Arabidopsis thaliana: one gene and its partner. The protein of the gene in region 1 binds, or shares a complex with, the protein of each later gene. Each region holds a gene or a part of one and is shown on either strand. Other genes may lie near its edges. The genes, in order: TOP3A and RMI1.

The links.
Region 2: TOP3A (region 1) and RMI1 share a complex: the UniProt entries of both Arabidopsis thaliana proteins name them as parts of the RMI complex.

What each region holds. Positions count from the first base shown.
Region 1 is NC_003076.8:25,570,886-25,583,012, reverse strand, and holds TOP3A (topoisomerase 3alpha), read right to left. Parts: upstream 8,595-12,127; 5' UTR 8,481-8,594; coding exon 8,184-8,480; intron 7,937-8,183; coding exon 7,758-7,936; intron 7,666-7,757; coding exon 7,593-7,665; intron 7,501-7,592; coding exon 7,378-7,500; intron 7,273-7,377; coding exon 7,151-7,272; intron 7,075-7,150; coding exon 7,002-7,074; intron 6,906-7,001; coding exon 6,786-6,905; intron 6,598-6,785; coding exon 6,514-6,597; intron 6,424-6,513; coding exon 6,244-6,423; intron 6,156-6,243; coding exon 6,027-6,155; intron 5,835-6,026; coding exon 5,760-5,834; intron 5,257-5,759; coding exon 5,167-5,256; intron 5,041-5,166; coding exon 4,936-5,040; intron 4,364-4,935; coding exon 4,329-4,363; intron 4,060-4,328; coding exon 3,930-4,059; intron 3,790-3,929; coding exon 3,737-3,789; intron 3,660-3,736; coding exon 3,560-3,659; intron 3,468-3,559; coding exon 3,429-3,467; intron 3,247-3,428; coding exon 3,168-3,246; intron 3,041-3,167; and 11 more. Other genes in the region: AT5G63930 (Leucine-rich repeat protein kinase family protein), read right to left, coding at 1-7; FCLY (farnesylcysteine lyase), read left to right, coding at 8,936-9,469, 9,668-9,841, 9,987-10,346, 10,439-10,614, 10,702-10,960; AT5G63905 (uncharacterized protein), read left to right, coding at 11,510-11,619, 11,752-11,953. UniProt on the Arabidopsis thaliana protein: Releases the supercoiling and torsional tension of DNA introduced during the DNA replication and transcription by transiently cleaving and rejoining one strand of the DNA duplex.
Region 2 is NC_003076.8:25,438,753-25,448,864, reverse strand, and holds RMI1 (recQ-mediated instability protein (DUF1767)), read left to right. Parts: upstream 1-4,426; 5' UTR 4,427-4,491; coding exon 4,492-5,025; intron 5,026-5,116; coding exon 5,117-5,287; intron 5,288-5,423; coding exon 5,424-5,569; intron 5,570-5,683; coding exon 5,684-5,782; intron 5,783-5,949; coding exon 5,950-6,104; intron 6,105-6,543; coding exon 6,544-7,067; intron 7,068-7,155; coding exon 7,156-7,266; intron 7,267-7,349; coding exon 7,350-7,481; intron 7,482-7,670; coding exon 7,671-7,832; 3' UTR 7,833-8,082; downstream 8,083-10,112. Other genes in the region: AT5G63550 (DEK domain-containing chromatin associated protein), read right to left, coding at 931-1,151, 1,244-1,274, 1,370-1,467, 1,595-2,015, 2,253-2,321, 2,392-2,472, 2,555-2,668, 2,755-2,814 and 3 more. UniProt on the Arabidopsis thaliana protein: Essential component of the RMI complex, a complex that plays an important role in the resolution step of homologous recombination, in a process called Holliday Junction dissolution, to limit DNA crossover formation in cells.

The DNA of each region.
Region 1 (12,127 bases):
TTACCATTCATGCATACACAGAAGCCCTTAAATCTTCATTAGAAGACATCAAACAAGATGTAATCATGTCTGCAAAAACCTCACTTTGTACATCTCTTAAAGACTACATACCATAAAACCATCCAAAAAAACTCAAATCATGTAGCATAACAAGCATATTTGAAAGAAGAATACAGGCCCTACTAAACTATGGATCTGGATCCAAGACACATAGCTATGAAAATTCTAGGCAAGAAAACAACCTTTGAAACTGGTTTCAGGAAAGGAAAAAGAGAGAATAGAAGAGGTGCAGACCTTTTTTTCTTCTTTCCAGGAAAACAATATAAAAAGGAAATGGTCAAGCTATGATTAGTTTTTTGATCATTGAAAGCTTTGAAGTTTGAAATTTGTTCATTAAAAAAGTCTTCTATTAGTACTGGCCTGTCTTTTAATATTAGTTTCAGAAGCCTATCAGCTTTGCTTTTGTTTATTTCAAGTAAAAAAGAAACTCAATATTCGTTTTGTCTTTGAAGCAACAAATAAAGTAAGCCATGAATTAGTCAAAGTGAGAACTACAAGGCTTAAAAATGATGGTCCTTTTTGTAACTTTGAAGCTATAATAGACTCTAAGTACTCAAATCAACAAGATAGAGATGGCCGACATGGCATGAGAACTTGGCTTTCCTCATTCTCTCACGACCTCAATTTCGTGCATTATTATTCTATTGTAAAGTATCAATTATACTCCAAGCAAAACAGTTGTTTTAATCTTCTATATACAGACGACAACCAAGATAACAACTGGAGAAGGGACAACAAGCTCGACTATAAGTTATAGTCCAAGGACAAATGCTTCGAGAAGCTTGTCAATTTTGAGACCAAACTTCAGTCTTGTAATGAGACTACTAAGAAGAGGCAATGATAAGTACCCACTTGATCATTCACAGCAAGATACCTAATTGACTGTTCAATATACCGAACCAAGCTATACAAATTCCAAGATTAGTATGAAAAGTACCTCAAGTGGCTACAACAACTCCTTCGATGAGGAATGTAAGAAGAAACGCGTTCTTGTTCCACAGGAGACGGCCTAATCAGTAATCACCTCTCTCTCTCTTTTTTTCCCTTTCATAGTTGCCGAAGAAAATGACCCGAATCCTACGCCGGAGAAGCTCGCCGGATCCTCTGTTATCTCAATTTCGATTTGAGAATTTTAAATCTTTTATGTTCAAAATGGACTGAAAATTGGTGTGCCGTTTTTAAACAACAAAACGGCGTTTATTCCGGTTGTTGTGTCGTTTTCTTACAGAGCAAAACGACTGTGGTTTGTGTTATTAACAGTTGTTAATATCTATTACTTGACCATCTCTAAAAACAAATTCGGAGGACTAAACTTTGTAGCTTAAGCATTTTGTTAATATCTATTACTTGACCATGTCTAGACTCAAGATCAATGGCATATACATAGTGATATAGTTGATGTATGAATTATGAATTATGAGACAATACAAAAAAAATGATGAAATATGGATCCACATTAGCTCACTAAGAACATAACTAAAAATTAAAAACGACTATTCAAGATTTATAAATAAAATAGGTGGAAACTATTCAGTGATTCAGAATAGCACGTGAAATATTATATTTAAAATATCCAGCTAACAGTGATCTACGCAAATTAGGATGAATTCCAGAGAAAAAGTGGTCATAAAATAAAATAAAATAAAATACAAAAACCCAAATTAAGTTAGTAGCACTAATTAATCATGCTACATACATAGTCAAAGTTCGTAGTAAGTAGACTTAGAAATAGTTACCGTTAGAGTTATTACGATTAGGACAAGCGTTAGCAAAATGTGAAGGATCGCCACATGAGAAGCACCTTATACCACTCACTGGCTCTCCAGTTGCAGAGACAAAGCTTGTTCCAGAGCCGCGTCGTCCTCCACTGCTTTGGCCGCCTCTACCTCCACGGCCACGACCACGGCTGCCACGTCTACCGCTCCCGCCGCTATTAGACCCTGTTGTTGCATTCCCACTACTGTTGTTTATGCTATCTTCCCATCTGTTTACAAGCAGTGCAAACAAAAAACTGATGTGTTGAGTGATGTAAAAGGAAAAAAAAATGGATTATGCGAAGAAATTGGGGTAAAACCAGACTCTTACGCAAAGAAACTGCAGCCTTGTGTTGGACATGAGAAGAATTGTCTTCCCCTGTTAGCTTCTGTGTTGGCTGTACGAAGAACACATTGTGATCCACAAGTGTTACATGATACTGTACTTTCATCTGCATTATAACCAACAATACTAGAATATAAATTACATGTCAATAAGGAAGACTTGGTCTGGACAATTTGCTTGAATTTTGACTAGTATATAGTACATACTAGCAAAAGCTAATCGATGATCTTTGTTTGCTAAACTATTATACAAGGATCAGTACCGTTTCTCGGATTTGTTGCAGTAGGACGAGAATTTCGAGATGCTGGAACCCGTGAGGGACAATTCGTGGAAGCATGTCCTCGTTGCTGACAATGTATGCAGACATTACTCTGTCTTGTGTTGCTTCCTTGGATATTGTTTGACGGTGCAGTACCTGGAGTTCTCCTTGCTGCAAGAACAAATCATTGATTCTTTTTAGCCTAAATGTTCTCTATTCGCAAGACACTATACTAAAGTTCTTGCATTCTCATTTAGGACAGAAGATGATGAAAGAAAGATTGTATGATGTCTAATACAAAGGTATATGTATTGCGTAACAACAAAGCACTAACCTTGAGAACGGGATCCAGTTCCACAGATGTCTATCAACTGTTTAAGAATGTCATCACAGCCACCCACGCAACCTGATCACAACATTACCATAGGACATATTAGAAGAAGTCACGATGAAATTGGCACGGTGGCTGTGATGACATTAAAATCAAAGCCTGGTAAAAAAATCAAAGCCTGGTAAACAAGAAAACAAATTGGCTGCAATTTTTTTTACCTAAGTGATTAACATCAAAGCCTGGTGGAATTCCAATTTGACGGAACTTGAAAAGTATCTTGTAGACCGGGCCTACAGAAAGAGAAAGGCACCATTTAATAATAAAGACAGAAAGACACATGTACACGCTGTGTCATCCAAGTGTAATTTAGTTTTTGAAATTCAATTCACTGTTATACTGGAGAATCTGTGGCTATACCTGGACCACAGGATTGACAAACATTAGTAGTGACAGATGCTTCCAATGTCGGTCCAGGAAGCCAGACTGCATTCCGACACTAGAGAAAGGAAAATGTGTGAAATTAATATAATAGATGTAAGCAAGGAAGCATAAACGAAGAAATACTGAAATGTCAAATGATTAGATCATAATCTTCAGAAATAAGGTTACAATACAGAGAGCAAAAAGTTTAAATTTCCAACAATATATATGGTATGTAAAGAGCGGTGAAATTCTGACCTGAGGATAATTCATGCACCCAACCATGAAATTGCCATCCTGCAAAGAAAGGGAATAGAACGTTTAACCTGTGGTTCCCATTAACAATAGGGAGAACAGAGAAAATTTTGTTCAGACAGAATATATGATACCCGGTTCTTCCTGAGTGCCATATCTGATTCATTGCAGAGATTGCATCGTCGGACAACTTCACCAGCTGTCTGACTTTCACTCTCATCAGTGTTATTAGATCTGCACATGCAGTATCATATTATATTACGAAGAAATAGACTTCAGCTACACAGTACTGAACAAAGTAACGAGACTACCTTTCAAAGAAAATTGTCATTGCTTCTAGGAGCTTTGATTTTTTTACTCTTGCCTGCGAGAATTAAATTTGTGAATGACAATTAGAAAAACACGGCATTCAGTTCCAGCCTACTGTGTTAGCAGCACCTTCAGCAATAACAGATTTGGCCACAGAGAGAAGACAAAAAGTCTAATAAAAAACAGCTGACTCACATCTAAGAAACAAGCTTTCATTTGCTGCAAACATGTTTCAAGAACTTCAGCTTTGGTCTTCCTGCCAACGCTAACTTCATTCATATCATGTTCCATAAGGGCTCTGAGATTTGGTTTCCAAAGTTCATACCTGAGAGAAAAACGTCAAAAGATTGGCAACAAGAAGACTGACAGACATCAAAGTCTTAGAGGGCTCTTCAAAAGGGGCTTGATACAAATGAGGTCTCTCCAAATAGATAGGCTCTTAACATAAAAATATAAATTCTTTAATCAGTTTACTCTGATTAGAAGGGAAATATGATTGAAAGCCACAAATATATAATGATATATGAAGGAGGCTCTAAGTTTTTTGAAACGTAAGGAAAATTTGTAGTACATCACATGCAGTCTTATACATACCCCATGTCATCATATCCCATCACAAGCGCCTCACCCTGAAATGAAATCAGTACAGTAAGCTAACTTCAGAAACGCTGAACAGACATATAAGGGCTAAGAACATATATATCAAATTATCCCAGGGAGAGTAGTCTTGCTATAACTCCAGTTAATAAAGTTAATTTAGATGTTTTATACACTTAAGAGTTCAGACAATACTACCACTATATATAGATACACAGTTTTGCTATAACCAGATAAAGTTCATAAAGATGTTTTTATAGTCTAGAGACCAGAAAACGTAACCAATATATGTCTAGGCTGAAGTTTGAGATAAAAGTATATTTTCCAAGGATAATCATTATGTTATGTTATGCAACCTTATAGCTAATGAAAGATCCTGGGAAGCTACAGGTATGATGTTGGTCTAGTAAACAAACTTATATATGGTCACAAGCAGTTCCTGATTCTAACGTGTAGGCGTTATTAACGCCCAAAAGCAGTTGTAACCCTAATCTTCATGCTGCCATAATTCTACACTCTAAAGATTAAAATAAATATACAGAGTATAGAAATAAAAAAAAGACAAAGGGAAAAATTCATAAAGCTTATGTATCATATCAGCTACCAGGTTGGTTGGAGAAAACCGTGTATTAGCATCCTTTGTTGCATAACCCCGATCAAGGAGTTTCTTTATGTGGTCGTGCATTGTCGCATCGGTGCCAATGCCTGCCTAACATTCACAAAAGGTAGGATAATAAAGAGTTACAAACATAATCGGATGATAAGTAGGGGTAGGTGAACAAGAGTATGCAAACACCACCACGAAAGGAAGGGGAAACAAGAAAATTTTAAAAACCTTGTCCATACAACTCAGTAAGTCAGCTTCACACAATAGTGGTGGTGGCCTTGTTACAGCTGCATCGAGAGTCAAAGTTGTTGGGATAAACTGCACATTACCAAGAAATTCAGAAATGTCATTGATTGTCCCTGCTGTAAGAACTAAGCAGTACGGTATTACAGAACAAATCCAAGAAGTGAATGTGAATCAGAAATTTTAGCAGTTAGACAGGCTCCTGTTTGGGGAAAAAATGTAAGCCACTTAAATAAGCCCCATTATGTCTCAGGAAGAGTCCAGTAGATTTAAACATATAAGACTGTCAGGATTTGACTAGAAAGCCAGCTCCCTGGGCACAGTTTTATGCCAATAAACAAGCAGCCTCGTCCATACAGATAAAGCAAACTGTGTTTGGTTCTCCAAATTTGTAGCAATTACTATTTGTTTGGGCCACTTTAATAATAATCATGACACCAGTTTTTGAACTAGAAACTACAATGCAAAGTTATGCCGTTCAATTGCATTATAGTTTAGTAGTTAAGTAATGTAACTTATAAGCAAGGACAAAGTAGTTTATTCAAAAGAGGATTAGCTGAGATATAGAAATAAACAACCTGCTGCCCTTTTTCATACACGGGAATCACTGAACCACCCCATGATTCAAAGCGGTACACCTCAAGGTAATTTTTCTAGTCACACAAAGAAAATTAGGTCAGTATCAAATTATTTATTGAAGGGAAAGTAAGCAATATATATGCTTGCAACAAAGAGCAGCTTTACATTTTATACTACCAAAACAGGAAACATCTAATCAATCAAAGTAGTTTCACATTTTATTCCACAGAAATTACGACAAAAAAGTAGAGAGTGAAGAGTCTTACGGCTAATATTGCTCTCCCAGATGCAGAAAAGCGCTCACCAGCGATATCAATCTCGACTGTAGTTTCAGCAGCAACTGCTGGCTGGGAAACACATGCTAGGTAATGGCGGACAACTAGCTCATATACATTCTGAAATAGTGGAAAAGAATGTTGGCTCCAACGTAGAAACATATACCTATGCTCGGGTATGTTAAACCAAACTGACAGCCATACTTACAAGGTGATCTCTGCTCCAGTTAGACTCTCCGCTAGAAAACTTTGTTGGGTGAATGGGTGGGTGAGCCTTGTCATCATGACCACCATTAGCAGGGTTTCTCCAGAGGCCCCCCTCAGGTTCTAATAATCTTTGTGCATATGATCCCCATGCAGGATGTCTTGTTTGTTCCTCCACCATAGCCTACACACAACTAGAGATCCTAAGAGACTATCAAAGGAAATGATAAAGTCCAAACTAACCTTACTGGCTCATGAGAAAAAAGTTACTTACACGTAAATCTGTCCTGCTCGAAAAAGAATCGGTCTCCGTACGAGGATAGCTGATGAAACCAGCCTGATATAATTCTTCTGCCACCTGTCCAGACATTTTTGATGTCATTTAACAAAAGAGAGATGTAATTGTAATTCAAAGACATATCAGCCTATACGACAGCATAAAACTCTACCAAGAGAGAACAGAATTTAGATTATGTTGAACATGCAATCCTAATAGGCCAAAGAATCATAGAAAGTATCTTAACCAATCTAAATACTCATTCAGACCTTCATGGTGTGCTCTGAACTCAGACGGAAATATCTTGAAGCACGTTTTTCAAGTTCAATCGTGTTCAAAGGATAAGGAGGATACTTGAATCGTTCCCTTGGATGTGGGACATTCATTACCTGGATGGAGATTATAAAGTAAATACACAATGTTAACTAGAGATGGAGTGTCAGATGATATAATTCCGTCTGATAAGATGTTTCTTTTTTACTCACAGTGGCAGTAGGTTCCTCAACGCACATCTCATATAATATGACAGCTGAAGCATAATCGAAGAGATGACCACGCCTGCAATAGAAATTATATCAATGTAACTTTCAAGAAGATTGGGAACAACAATAAGGAAGGCAGTTGAAAATCGTACATCCAATTAAAGGTGGCAAGGCCTTCTTCTGATTGGTGAGAACAGTTGATTGTCCAAAACTCTTCTGGTTCATGTGCCTGGATCTCCCAGTATCGCTCGACAATAAAGCCAAGTGTAGGAAACTTCAGTTGAAGCAGAGAAATATCAAATCTAGCTACATTAACTGGCTCTGATATGTAAAATGGGACAGATTGTTCTGAAACTTATCGATACTGGTTTCACATTACCTGACACGGACCATAACTTATAACACGACTCCTCTCCTCACCCGTAGAGTCAATAGCAAACCTATCTCTCAGCAGCATAGTCTGAAATCTAGTGAAAGAAGCACCAATGCGTAGGTCTATTTCCTAAAGTTTTCGAAAAAAACATTAGCTAATACAAATTCGGTAGGAAATACTGCTAACACATAAACAGAAGAGGGATTTCAGGAGAAACTCACTTGTCTAGCATCTACAGCCTCAGCAAACAATTGATTAGGATCTCTAAGATTCTGAACTGCTTCATGAATATCCCTAGCAATTACATCATTGGAATCAGTTCAATCGTTTGAAATAGAGTGCTTAGTAGAAGATATATGAGGAATAACGTGTAAAGCAATCTCTACCTGTCAATTAACGCAGAGAAATGAGCCCTGCGTATAAAAAGATTATGCTTGACAGCTCTGCAAACATCTACAACTTCAAATGCAATGTTTTCACCTTCCCTATCACAATCAAGCCACAGCACAAGCCAGTCGCTTTTCCTTGCCTCCTCCTCCAATGTCTTCTTAATATCCTTTTTGTCCTAATTCACTCAACACCAGAATTAAATAAAACTTGCAAGTCAGAAAACCCCAACTTCATTATAAAGGCGAATCAAAGATCCTAGTCCCGTTTTATACAGTTGCAATTACCAAAACAAATCAGACCCAATCAACAATTCCTAGTTAGAGAAGCAATGACTAAATCAACAACCCAGAACTATACAAAAGCATACAAGTACAATGGGACATTAAATCAATTAGGCGTGCACACACATACAATAGAATTACCTCGGGAACGTGTTTCATGACCGGAGCTTGGTACAGATCTGCCGGGTCGCAGGAGTGCCATTTGCGGTAACGATCGGCGAACTCAAGCTCCATCAGGTGGCCGATGACGGAGGTCATTAGCATACGACACGGCTGCCCATTGATGGCGTAATCGAACTCGAAGATTTTGTTGTACCGAGACCTACCCTCCCGAGTCCGGAAAGTTCCACGGGATAGAATCCCCGCCACTGACTTCGCCACGGACGGCTTCTCCGCCACGTTCAACACTGTCACGGGGCCACCGCCTCGTCGCGACATCGCCGGTAAAGAAAACCCTAACGGTTAGTAATTACGTTTTTTTGTTTTCAGTAGGCGAATTTTCCCGCTCTTATGATATAGCCTAGCTACTATTGGTGGTGTCACTGAGACACTGACCGAACAGTTGTGGAAATTTGTGCCTTTAATGGGCTTCAATAATTCGGTTAAAGTTGATCTCACAATTGAAATTGAATCAAAACCGGACTCGGATCCGGTTAGCTTCTTATGATATATGACTATATGATAAGTATGTTTAAATCGTATAGAATATAGATCTTGAGCTTAATGAGATTAATTCAATTTCTTTAGAACACTTGCAAAATAAATAAATAAAACAAAATAATATTTTTCCTTTATGCACTATAGAGTTAGTCCGATAGGATAAGGGCCCAAGAAGGCCTCATTGATAATTTACAATCGAGAGAGAGAGCGATAAAGTCAACTCGTTGACTAAAATGAAAGATTTCCCGATAGCAATCTCCCTTCTGTTCGCTCTACTATCGCCGGTTCTTCTACCTTGCTCCGGCGATTCCACCGGCGGCGTCGAGGATGATTCTCCAGCGACCGTATGTATCGTCGGGAGTGGGATCGGAGGCTCATCCGTAGCTCACTTCCTCCGTAACTACTCTGTTTCCACCGGCTTAAATCAAGCCAAGATCCTGATGTTTGAGCGTCACGAGATAGTCGGTGGACGCATGAGGACCGTCACTGTCGCCGGTGATACTTTCGAAGCCGGCGGTTCGATTCTCCATCCGAAGAACTACCACGTTAAGGATTTCGTCGAAAGGTTCAATCTGACGGTTCGATTACCGACGCCGATTGAAGAATCTTCAGCGATTGGAATCTGGGATGGGAAGAGATTTGTCGTCAAGACATTCGGTTCCGGTACCAAATTTCCGTTTTTGGATACGATCGTCTCTTGGGTGAATGATCTCTACTTGTTCTTACGTTATGGGTTATCACTGCTGAGAATGAGCAGCTTCATTGAGGTATTTAAATGTAGAACCTTTTGATTTCAGAATTGGCTATCAATTGTTGAACAATGAGTTTGTTGTTGTAAAGTGATTTTAATTTGTTAGCTAGCAATGAGGATGTTTTCGTAACTTGATTTTGCATCTAGGTTTGTGTTTGTGTGTGTGTGTGGATCCTTTTGTATGTTGACTGATGTTGATTTTTTATGTTCGTAGAATACAGTTGATAATTTCTTGAAGTACTATGAAAGCTTAGAGTCAAGACCTATCTTCGACAATGTTGAAGGGATGCTTAAATGGTCAGGCTTGTACAATCTCACAAAGCTCACTCTACAGGAGAAATTATCTGAAGCTCAGCTTTCTCCTTTGTTAGTCAACGAGCTGGTTACGGTAATCTTTCTTACAATACTGTCCTTCAAAGGCCATTTTAATCTCTTCTTTGCTTATATGGTTCAACATATAACTCTTCTCCTTAACAACTTTTGCCAATTATCATCCTATTACAATTTTGAGTGTGTTTATTGTGTTTCTCCAGGTTATTACAAGGATAAACTATGGACAGAGTGTACTCATCAGTGGGTTGGCAGGTGCTGTCTCTTTGGCGGGTTCAGGTGGAGGATTATGGTCTGTTGAAGGTGGAAACTGGCAGATGGCTGCAAAGCTCATTAATCATTCAGATGTTACGTTACACCTGAACGAGAAAATTGAATCCATTTCATATCTCGAAAACCATTACGAGCTTAAATCCACTAAAGGAAACAGCTACAAGTGTGATGTCACAGTAGTTGCCACACCATTAGACGAAGTGGATATTCAGTTCTCACCCACGATCTCAATTCCTAAGAGAGAACTACAACACACGCACACGACATTTGTGAGGGGGCTTTTAAACCCAGTAAGTATCAATCACTGTCTGTAGTTTTAACGTTATCCTGATCATGATTCTGACTCGTAACTAATGTGTGATCATGTTTTCTCTATGAAAAGGGATACTTTGGGATGAAATCGCTTTCAGATGTTCCAGCTTTGGTGGGAACCCTTGAAGATCCTCTAATTCCATTCTCATGCATCTCAATTCTAAGGAAATATAGTAAAACAGATATGACATACAAGATTTTTACGCGACAACCTGCATCAGATTCGTTGCTTGATGAGCTCTTCAGGTAGTTACAACACAATCTCTGTCAGATTTGAAGCACATCTGTTCAGTTTCATTAAAACTGGTTCAATTTCTCTTCTTTCTTAAACAGTAGGAGAACCGAAACCGTTCGAATAGACTGGGGTGCATACCCAAAGTACCACGCGCCTGAAGTTTTCGCACCATTCATATTAGATGACCATCACTTGTACTATGTGAATGCTTTTGAAAACGCGGCAAGCACAATGGAGACAAGTGCAGTGGCTGGTGAGAACATTGCCAGACTCATAATTTCCAGATTCATGACAAAGGAATCATTATCTTCCTCGGACAAAAGAAGCTGTAGTTCTGGTCTGCACTCAGACTCATAAACAACTTTGGTCCCCACATAAACAAGGACTATTGGCTGTGTGTGTTTTGAAGAAGAATATGATGTTTATGTATATAGACACATAAAACAGTTTTGAGTTACTGATTGTGTTTGTTCCTCGTAACCTAAGCTTCTTCTTTTTTTTAATCTTTTTCGAGTTCTTGAATCAGACCATTGGCATTAGCATACAAAAACAAAAACAGAGAAAGTTAAGAATCTTTTAGTACCAAGACAGAGACATAAACAGCTACATAAGTTGATTCAATATTAGATTTTACTACGTAAACAACAGCAAAGTTGTTGATTCAATAGCATTTTATATAAATAAATAAAAAACTTTATTTAGTAGTGCATAAATGATAAAGCAAATTTTCTAATTAGCTTTTGTTGATTAATCGGGTTAATAAATAAATCATTAATGTAAAAGATTTTAATATAAAATAAGAATCCCCAAAAAGAGCTAAATTATTCTGCAGAAGACGCGTCTTCTTTCTTCTTCGGTAAACTTCAAATCAGAAGCGAAGAAGAGATCAAATCAATCTGATCGTAGATGGGTTGTTTCAGTTGCTTCGACGGAACCCAAAAGGAACAGCGTAAGGAAGAAGAGAGACAAGCCTCCGCCGAAGCTCGTGCCAAAGCCGCCGAAGCTGCCCAGCGACGGTTTTTATCTCTTTTCTCTTCGCCTCTATTGAAAAATTGATCCTTCAGGGTTTTAGAATCTTAAATTCCTTTGAAATCCTAAACTTTGAAATTGTAGATATATGGATGTTAATTTTTGGTTTGGTAACGCAGGAAAGAGCAGTTTGATAAGTCTGCAGCTGGAAGAGCTGCACAAGCTCAATTACAACAAATGGCTAAACAATCTGCAAATACTAACAAAGGAGAGCCTGTTCTTAAGGTTTTTAAAACTACTTTCCTCAATTTATGTATCATCATCAAGTTAAAAGTTTGCTTATTCAGCTTTATCTTTGCTATGAATTGCAGTGGCAAATGACGTAGTGATGAGTCCTGGTTTCAAAAGGAATCAATTTGTGCGATTTGGTTCTTTGTAAATTGTGTGTTCTTCAATGTTTGCAATACTTTGGTTATGTGAATTGAAGCTTATTTTCTTCCTTATTCATCTGATTATCTTTTGACTTTTGTAAAACAAAAAAGAAATAACAGAGTA
Region 2 (10,112 bases), 130 kb from region 1:
AAAAGTTTAAAATGAAACTGTAGAGCCCTGACTTCTATTAAAAAAATACAAAGCTGGTTTAATTTCAAGGTAAATTATAGGGAGTTGGTAGCTATATAGTCTACTATTAATTTTCCTTTCTTTTTTTGGGTCAATGGTGGGCTATAGTCTTAAGCCACCAAATTATAAACCAAACACTTCACGAACAAGGTCGCATTTGGATAGTAGCTTTTCTTATTAATATATAAAGATCCTTGGAGATTGAGATTTAGTAGTGGGTGGATTGTATAAATAAATAGCATTAGTTGAACTAGCCCTATTATTGATAATTGAATGTAACTTGGCGTCAAGAAAAACCCGAATTTGAATGTAGGAAATATAGGTTGTGCTTGTGCATATCACATACTTTCAGAATTACATATAATTTTTTTTATGAAAAACATATTTTTATAAGTACTTTCAAAGAAATATATCTTTTACATAAAAATATAGATTGTATTTGTGCATATCACACTGCAAAAAAGCTATGTCTACCTTTACTGAAGGATCATTATCATGTGACACTGGGATTTTTAATACAGAGTAGTTTTTCTGAACCCACTCAAGTTTCAAGTTCAACATTCGTTTTCATGATCTCACAAATCAGATAACAGAATTAAATGAAATATACGAATATGTCTTAAATTAAACCCAAGAAAAGAAGAAGTAAAATTCCCTAAAGTATCTGGCTATCAAATAAAACAAGGATTAGAAAACCTAACAGGTAACAGGTAACAGCTACACAAGTAAAAGACACTTAAAACTACATAATGAGAGTCAGACTATAGAGATTACACAGTACAAAAGTACAGATTCGACACACTTTCACTTGCTCTGGTTCACACAAAAGTTGTGTCAGTTTTGCTTTCCTTCACATTAGATTTTGAACGAAGGAAAACGAAACTCTTAACCTCAATCCTTTGGCTCTTCTTTTTCCTTCTCTTTGTCACTTTCAGCCTCAGCTTTTTCCTCTTCTTCCTCTCCTTTTACTTCTTCCTTTTCTTTGTCACTTCCTGCCTCAGCTTCTTCCTCTTCATCTTCTTCTTCATCATCAGTCATTGCATTTATGGCCTCTGTGATAACATCCTTCACCTCTGGTTTTCTATGCGACAGCTCGACACCAAAATGGTCACCTGACGTTATCACAAACAGCATATGTTACCAAAAAGCTCCTTGTACATTTGAATTGCGAAATAGATAATAAAAGCAAAATCCAATAACATACTTAGCTTCTGCAGAATATCTGATAGTGTTGCCTGTTATTAAGAAAAAAAAAGTGTATGAGAACATCTATTCAAGTTTTTTAAACCATTACATTGTATTTGGACTTGGGAAAATCAAACCATCTTACCGTATTGAAGTCTACTTCCTTCAGAATTTTGGACACCACTTCAAGCATCTCTTTTCTGGTGGGCTCTGCTTTGGCTTTGCCTTTCTTAGTGGCTTTTCCTGTTTCCAATCCATGATAGAGGAGAACAAATATAAATAATCAGCTTCAAAAACAAATAGGATGATTTCATATAAAACATAAATCGAACGAGGCTAAGCCTCAGAAGCAGCTGAGAATGGTTCTAACCTTTCTCTTTAGATCCCTTAGCCTGTGGCTTACTCGGCTGTTTCTTGCTTTTCTCTTTAGAAGACTCAACGTGATCAACTTTTTGCTTCTTAGCTGGGGATGAAGTTGACTTAGCAATTTGTTTGGAGGACTTTTCCCCAGATCTTGCAGAACCTTTGGCAGAAGGTTGCTTATCCTTACCTTTGGACCCTGAACTCTCCTCTACAGTCTTTTTCGATGAGCTTTTCTTCTTGGATGGTTTCTCAACCTCTACTTCATCTTTCTCATCGTCAGTGTCAGTCTTTTCATGGTCACTTTCTTCCTCTGGCGCTGCATCATCTTCTTCATGAGGATCATTAGTTCCTTCAGAGTCAGCATCTCCCTCATCCTTGCCTTCTTCCGTGTCAGATGGAAGATCTCGCTTTTTAGTTTGCCTTTTCCTCTGCGTAGTAACAAAACAGGGATATTTGTACAACCCATGGTCAACAACTAATAAATCAAGTCACATAGATGAGAAAGCATATAATAATTCATGCGAATGACGGTAATCCAACCAAACATTTAAAATCAAAATTCACACCAGTCATATGAGGAAAATAAAAGAAAAACAAGCTATAAAGGCGCCAGTAGCAGGCAATGAATGCAAATAAGAGAATTGAGATAATAACAAAGTACAAACCTTGGCAGGGGTGTCCGAAGATTCTCCAGATTTCCCCCTTTTTGGTGTACTCTTGCGCTTTTTCGCCTGCTAAAAATGAATTCAGTGCTCCCATTGAGAATGAACATGTAGAACAATAATGTACTGATTCCAATAATACCTTTTCTTGATCAGCAATTATAACATCTCTAGTTTCCTTGGGAGATTCCAAAAATTCAAGCACTTTGACAGCTAGTTCTTCCTGGCAGTATCAGGATAGAGGATTTCTTAGAATATAGAACAAGGTGCAATAAATAGATAGACTACATCTTCTTATCACTTACTTTTTTCACGTTACTTCTGCTTATAGGGATATCAAGCACATCACAAAAAACAATCAATTTTTCTTTTACGCATTTGTCAATCTTCTCTTTTATTCGTGCTCTCTGCTTCTCCTCCTAAGAAACATTTAAATAAAAGTTTCAACACCAGGGACAACAGCATACACATCCCTGTAACAAAATAAACTTGAAATGGGTTATACCTCTTTCTCTGACCAGGCAAAGCCAGAAAATTGACCAATGTTTCTCTTAACCATCTGTGCCTGTAGAGAAATTTTCACAAAACGCTTTTTAAGTAGCTATGCACTCTGGCAAAGAAACAATGAAAATTCCGAGACGACATCCATACTAACAGAGACAGAAGCTTGCAAGTGAAACATAACTACCATATGTGGAATATAAGAGCAACTTTTAGCGCACCTTTGCTTTCTTCCCAAAAAGAATGGTGTGTAGTAACATCAGGTTGTCATCAGCTTTTCTCTTCGATAGTTTATGAGCCACTGAAACAGCAAAAATTATCAGACAACTTTCTAATCAAAAATAAATGTAAACAAGTCTTTATCAAAATAACTAAAATTTTCACCCTCAAGCTAAACAAACAAACAAGAGAAAGAAAGAAAGAAAAAAAAAATCTCATCTTCTTATCAACAACAGTGCAGAGTATGAGTATTTCTCCACAGCAAAATTAAGCAAATCACAGACAGCAAGTTAATAGACTAATAGTGATATTCCATCAGAAAGTCAGACTATAGGTATCAAATTGGTAGAAGTAATAGTATCCAAGTAGACCAAAAGCCCAAGCTTTTCTAATGAAATGGTTCTATCTATAATCATGCCAACACAGACAGGAAAAATCTCACAATAGCTATCTCATCTTCTAGATCTAAGATGTGCCAACCAGCCAAGATTGTTCATCGTTCTGATTAACAACAATTAGATCTACACATCACAAATTCACAAGACTTCAATCAAAACAACCACAAATCGAAATTGATTCTCATACATACCATTTGGAATTTCTCTGAGAGGTGTTCCACGACCCTACAACAAAAAACCATAACTAATTGATCCAATTCTCATAAAGACAAATAAGAAAGACAAACAAAAGTTCCATCAAGCTACCTTTTCAATTGAAACGGACTTGCTCGGTGGAGCCCGCATAGGAGTCGACAACGAGAAACGCTCAACCTTCTTTCTCTCCCTCGTTGGTCTCTCACTAGTCGGAGTCACCGTTTCCTTCTCCGACGATTTCTTACTTCCACTTCCTTCTTCTTCTTCTTCTTCCTCCTCACTTTCTACATCGTCTTCTTTATCTTTCTCACCCAATTCTCCTTCTTTCGCTTCACCCTCTTCTTCATCTTCCTTCTTCTCCTCCTCCGCTTCGCCAATTCTCGGCGAATCCACTTTTTCTTTCTCTACCTCCTTCTCCTCCTTCGGAACAACATCAATTTCCTCCTTCGCCGGAGAATTCACTTCCGGTGTCTTCTCATCTAGGGTTTCAGTCGCCATTTCAAACCCAAACAACAGGCGAATCAAAACGTGAAAAGTCAAGAAAAAAAAAAACTCAAATTTCAGATTTGGGGAAACTCGAAATTGTAAAACCCTAATTCAACGATTATGAAGAAGAGAAACAAAAAAATTTGGGGATTTTCAAAAATTCTGGTACCAAAAATTAGAACACAAAGGCGGGCTCTTTTCGTCACCCCCAAATATTTTCACCAAATTCAGCTCGCGGCAAAACTAAACCCAAATTTATATACATACACATATACATACATACAACAAAACTCGGCCCAATTTTATAACAGGCCCCATTTTCCTCCTAATGAGCCCAATTGCGTTCTGGCTTCTAAACAAACTTTTTCAAAAAAAAAAGCAAAATAGAAAATTGATTTTGGAGGGAAAACCAATAAAATTCCCTAAATTTCGCCGGCGAAGAAATGCGTAGACGGCGCCTGCAACTCCGGTACTCCTCCGACGAAGAAGAAGAAGATGAAACTGGAACAAGCGGAGTTGGTGATTCTGTTCAGAGCTTTGGTATTGCTTCATCTATACAACCGGAAACCTCAGTATCGTCGAATTCTAACCCTAATCCCGGTGAGAGAATCGCTATATCGGAAGTTGAGATTATCGACGTTTTTGGTAATCCCCAGCCTACACCGCCGGATTCTAGTATTCCTACACCGTATCCGGTTTATCCGTCGGAGTCAGTGAGCGGCAATGACTATGAATCGCCGATCAGTGAGGTTCTTTCTCGAATGGGGATTAAATTGAAGAGGGAGTGGTGGGTATCTTGTCTTTCAGGACTTGAAACTTCAATTCCACAATTTTCCTACCTCGATGTTGCAGCTAAAGCTAAGCATTGCTTCGAGCAGTTTATGTTTTTCGATATGAATTTATGCGGAGGTGGTGTTCTTCCTCCGAACGTTGCGTCTATGAATCGTATAGAACTCGCTGGTCCGTTTGTTCTGCAGGTTATTTGATTGTTTGGTTTTTACACTGTATATATAATTGCGCAATGTGTGATTTTGGCTGAACATTTTTGCTTAAATTTTTCAAATTTAGGTTGATGAGATTGTTAACATTGGCTGCCCACTCAAAGGGAGGTATGAGAATGCTAATGCAGGGCTTAAGAGGTGCCTTAAGCTGTCTATGACAGATGGTGTTCAACGCGTTTTTGGTATGGAATACAGGCCTATTAAAGATCTTCAAGTCTTGGCTCCTGCTGGTTTAAAGGTGTGTGTTTCTTGTTGAGGATTGTAGTTGTGAAAATTGTATGAATATTTGTTCTAAGGCCATTGTACAGCCTTTAAGATTATTTATACATGTCTGTGTTTTTAGTACAAGTACTGACTAGAACAGCTAAATGCAGATTGTTGTATCTAGTGTACAAGTTCGGCATGGGCTTTTAATGCTAGTACCTGAGATTGTAGAAGTTTTAGGAGGGATGGTTGAAGAACTAGAAGAAGCACGAAAGCGTCTGGTTGTTGAAGTAAACAAACCTCCAAGAGGAAAAAGGTTAGATTTATTCAAAGATTGGTTTACATTGTTCAAAATTCGATATTTCTCCAGCTTTTGTTTCTCCCCCTCACTTCATATTCGAAATTTGTGTCATGATGTATGTCTCTTCAGTTGGAAAGATTATTTGCAACCAGTGTGTTTCACCGATTTCTTTGGCTACAGCTTCTTTGATCTTGAGAATAGAGACTGGTTTGGAGTATGCCTGACAATGTACTCGTTTAGTGAATTCTGCATTTGGATTGGTTTCTGTTGAAAGATGTTGCATTTTATCGCGTTAAAACAGTTTATAACATACATACTACTAACTGTCTTTTCTATTTGCAGTTGTAAATTTTACCCTTCTTGTCAAAGTTTTTATTTGATTTTAACTTTTGCAGAACAAGGGTAGGAGTGGTTCCTTCTTTAACAACCAGAGCAACTCTAGCTGCGTGGTCGCTAAATGGCAATGATACTGGTAATCATGTACATGATACTGGTAATCATGTAAATAGTTCTGCCTCGGGCAATGCTAGTCACACTCAAGCCAATCAAGGTAGGGGAGTTTCTACATTAATCTTCTTGTTCAGAAAAAATTACATGTCAACAAAAAGAGTAGCTGCATGTTTCAAAAGTAGAGTTCACAAAACTAGTCAAAGTGTTCATTACTGTCAACCCTGAACCAGAGTAATTATTTGTTCCATCACAGGAAAGTGGATAAGTGAAGATTTTGAATCAAAGGAAACAGACTATTCCCATTTTTTAGCTTATTATCATAAATTATAACATACTAGAGCACAATCATGGTTCGTTCTGTGTTTCCTATGATCTTTTCTTACTTCACCATAGCCGAGTTACAACATTAAAAACGTTTTTGGTGTCTTTCTGAGAAAATGATGTCTGTCCTTGAATACTTTCTGGAACGTGAGATGACCACTTTCTTTTGAGATTATTAGTGGCTATTAACTCTCTTTTGAACAAACCACTTATGGCAGGCATACCCGTACATGTAACGAGAACTCACAATAGTTCACGGGCGATGGATGAACCTCTTGCTTCTACCAATGTGGGAGCTACTGTTTCAAGGGTTGAGCATATGCAGATTGATACTGCTTCTGCGCACGGGGAAAGAACGTTTTCTGATATACATTCAACTTCTAGTAACATTCACCGAGCAGCATCCACAGCTGGTACTGGTACTAGCTGCAGTGGTGCCTGCAGTGGTGCAAGATCTTTTGCCAACAACGTTGGCGGAAATTCATTGGATCAAACATCTAACGTGACTTCATTTGTTGAAGAAATGCATATTGACACTGGTCGTGTAAGGGATACAACGACTCATATATATGGTTCAGATTCAGGCGGTGTAGCAGCAGAATTCAGTAATATGGTTGTCGATTTGGAAGGCCCTTCTGTGCTGTCTACAAATACAGAGAAACCTTTCACATACTTAGCCGAGTTGTCTCAAAAATGGGCAGTTATGAAAGATACCATACATTTTGTTCAAGGAAGGATCAAGGTACTACTAACACCACTAATTAAAGCACTCTCAGTCTTCAATCAATGATGATTTCAACTCTTGTTATTAAAGTATTCATTTTTTGCAGTGCTTTCTAACTGGAGTGAAGAAATTCCAGTTCAAGCAACAGTCTACGTATGAGCTTCTATGCTATGTTGATGATGGTAGTCTCATCTGTGAGATTTTGCTCCATAACGACGTGAGTCCCATCCCTCATTTCGCAATGAATTTGATGTATTAGAATGAAGATCACCCATCAGGTCCATGTCATCCCCTCTGCAGGTTGTACAAAAAAGGATAGGACATTCATCCATGGAAGTCACAGCTGCTCTTTCCTCGTCAGCTCCAACATCACTAAATGCCATGATGAAAGAGAAACTGAAACGCTTCCAGTTGTTTCTCGCTGACTTTGAGGTAAAACCTGCTAACTTGTGTTTCCTAACATATCAGTTTTAGACTGTCTTTGTTATATGATCAGATACATCAAACATAAGTTACTTTCAGACATAAGTTGAATCTAGAAACTAGGCTTAGGACTGGATATGAAGACCATACTTCGGAAGACTAGTTTTTTTCAAAATGTTCATTTTTATGTTACTGCAGGGAATAATGGTGGTAGAAATGAACAGATCGTCGCAATATCCAGTAGCTATCGAAATGAATCAGGGATGTTCGCTAACCGATGCTCGGTTACTCTTGGACAGAATCAAATCTTCTTCAAGAACATCCTCAAGCTTAAATCCAGTTGTTGTTCTGTCCCCTTGATCCAGTACTCAACTAAAAGCTTGTGAAACAGTGTGAAGACTCAACGTCATCTATACCTGCTTAGGTATTACTTCCTCCTGGTTCAACTAAACCGAGTATTTTACCTTTGGTGATTCCAGTTCTGCATTTTTAAGTAATTTTAAAGTCAAAAAGTAGATTAGGTGTTGTAAAGTTTTCTTATGAACTTGTATTTTAAGATAATAAAACAAATGTTATTATTGCTGAACAGAAAAATAAAAAAACAAAGGTTATTATATAAGAAAAATGTCAAGAAAATCATCAGTTTACTAAAAATGGTGAAATAAAGTATCAACTTTGGGTTTGGTGAATTAAATTCTCAATTTTAGTTGATTTTCCAATTAAATCTTTAATTTTTATTGACTCGACCAAATAAGACACGTTGTTAAGTTAACTGACAGGTCAATTTAACAGATTCAAGTCAACGTTAACAGTTTTATTAAGTTGTAAACGACGTCGTTTTATGTTTTAAAGAATAATAATACCAATTTAAAAAATAATTGATATATATAATTAAAAAGTTTGTAAAAGTATTTCCGGTTTTTATTTAGTGCCGATAGATTTCCGGTTTTATACATCTTTTTCAATTTGATTTGATGACGCATATTCAACGATTGTCGAAAAATACAAGGGTCGGGAATTGAAAAGTTTTGTTTGATTTGAGTGTTGTCGAGTCTTTTTCTTTTTTTTTCCTGGCCGATCGAATTTTTAACTCGAGTCTTGTTTGGTTAGGAAAAAATACAGTGTAATGTTCTTTCGGTAGTTTCCTTTTAAAATACAGTAAAGCCTTTTTTTTTTTTTTTTTGACACAAAAATACAACAAAGTCATCCATTCGTTTTTCTTCTGTTCTAAAAATTAACGTTTCAGATTTTAGATATTGGTCCTATATATAGTAGGCAAAATCATATGGGGTCCCGATTAATCAAATCGGTAAATGAATATGTCCAAAGATTTTTCTTGCCTAAATGCCATATTTATGATTTTTAATGAAATAAATATTAAAAAGAATAACAAGAAAAAGCATGTTATTCTTCGACTAATCTACTCCAAACGTTTGATGATGCCTAACTAATTGTTGTACACTAGTTTCTTCCGAAGTCAGGTTACATCGAGATAAAGAGGCCATTTAAATATGGACCATTTGGGCCATTAGACATAAAATAAATACTTTGAAAGTTGAAACGAGTAAAAAGAATAAAGAAATTTGCCCTCTATGTGTAATGCTACATCGTAGCACACACTACTAGGTCATCTTCAGCCATCCATATGATCTATCTATGCTTCTTTGCCTTTACACCCACTAAGTGATGGGATTTAAAGAACTTTCTTATCAAAATTTCTTTTGTTAGAAAAAGTTTACTTTCTTTATTTCAAAAGTATTATATTAATGATTGTTCTAAAGATTTTGGCTCATGTCTAAATCTCAACAAAATTCTTGATAAAAATCGAAATCATGTTATCATTTTCGACAGATAAATTTATATGATTTGTTTTCTTCTGTCACAAGACCTACATTTCTGCATTATTGTGCACTGCTGCGTTTATTAGTATTCACATATTGAACTCGTTAACTGAGTAGACTTTAACAAACAAATTGTGGTATAACATCATCTTCTATAGTTTTCTATATTATGGGCCTACATACTTTTTCTGTGTGTACGTTAGCCTTTCGGCTTCTTTTTTTTTGTGTTTACATTTGCATGTTAAAATCTATTGTATTAATCAAAATTCATTTGTAGTTTGCAAACATAATTAAAAGCCAGATAATACAAAGGAAAATAATAATAATGCTTTATAGGATTACGTACGTCTTTATACTTTTCATTTTCTGATCTTATCTCGAAAATGTGAGACGGCTAAATGTCAAGATCTAAAGGTTGGCTTTTTTTATCTAATCTAACTATCTAAGTTGTTCTATATATGCATCCATCAAGTTTATCATCTAAGGTCAAAACCTTGTAATCTAAAACATTATAGATTTTGGATTAAAATCTTCAGTATGGTTCAGTCGTGCAGATCTTTTGATGCGTGAATGGCTCGTTATATATAAATATTTATTCTCAAAATATAGAGAATGTAATGCGAACAAATTAAATAATACCAGAGTCGTAGTCCAAATAGAATGGGATAAATTTGAAGAAATAATGATAAGAATTATACGTATAAGTTGACAATGAGAGGAGAATATATTATTTGCTTGGCAGTTGGCGCCAAAATTAAAAGTCGGAAAATAATTGAAACAAATTATTGGTAATGGGGAT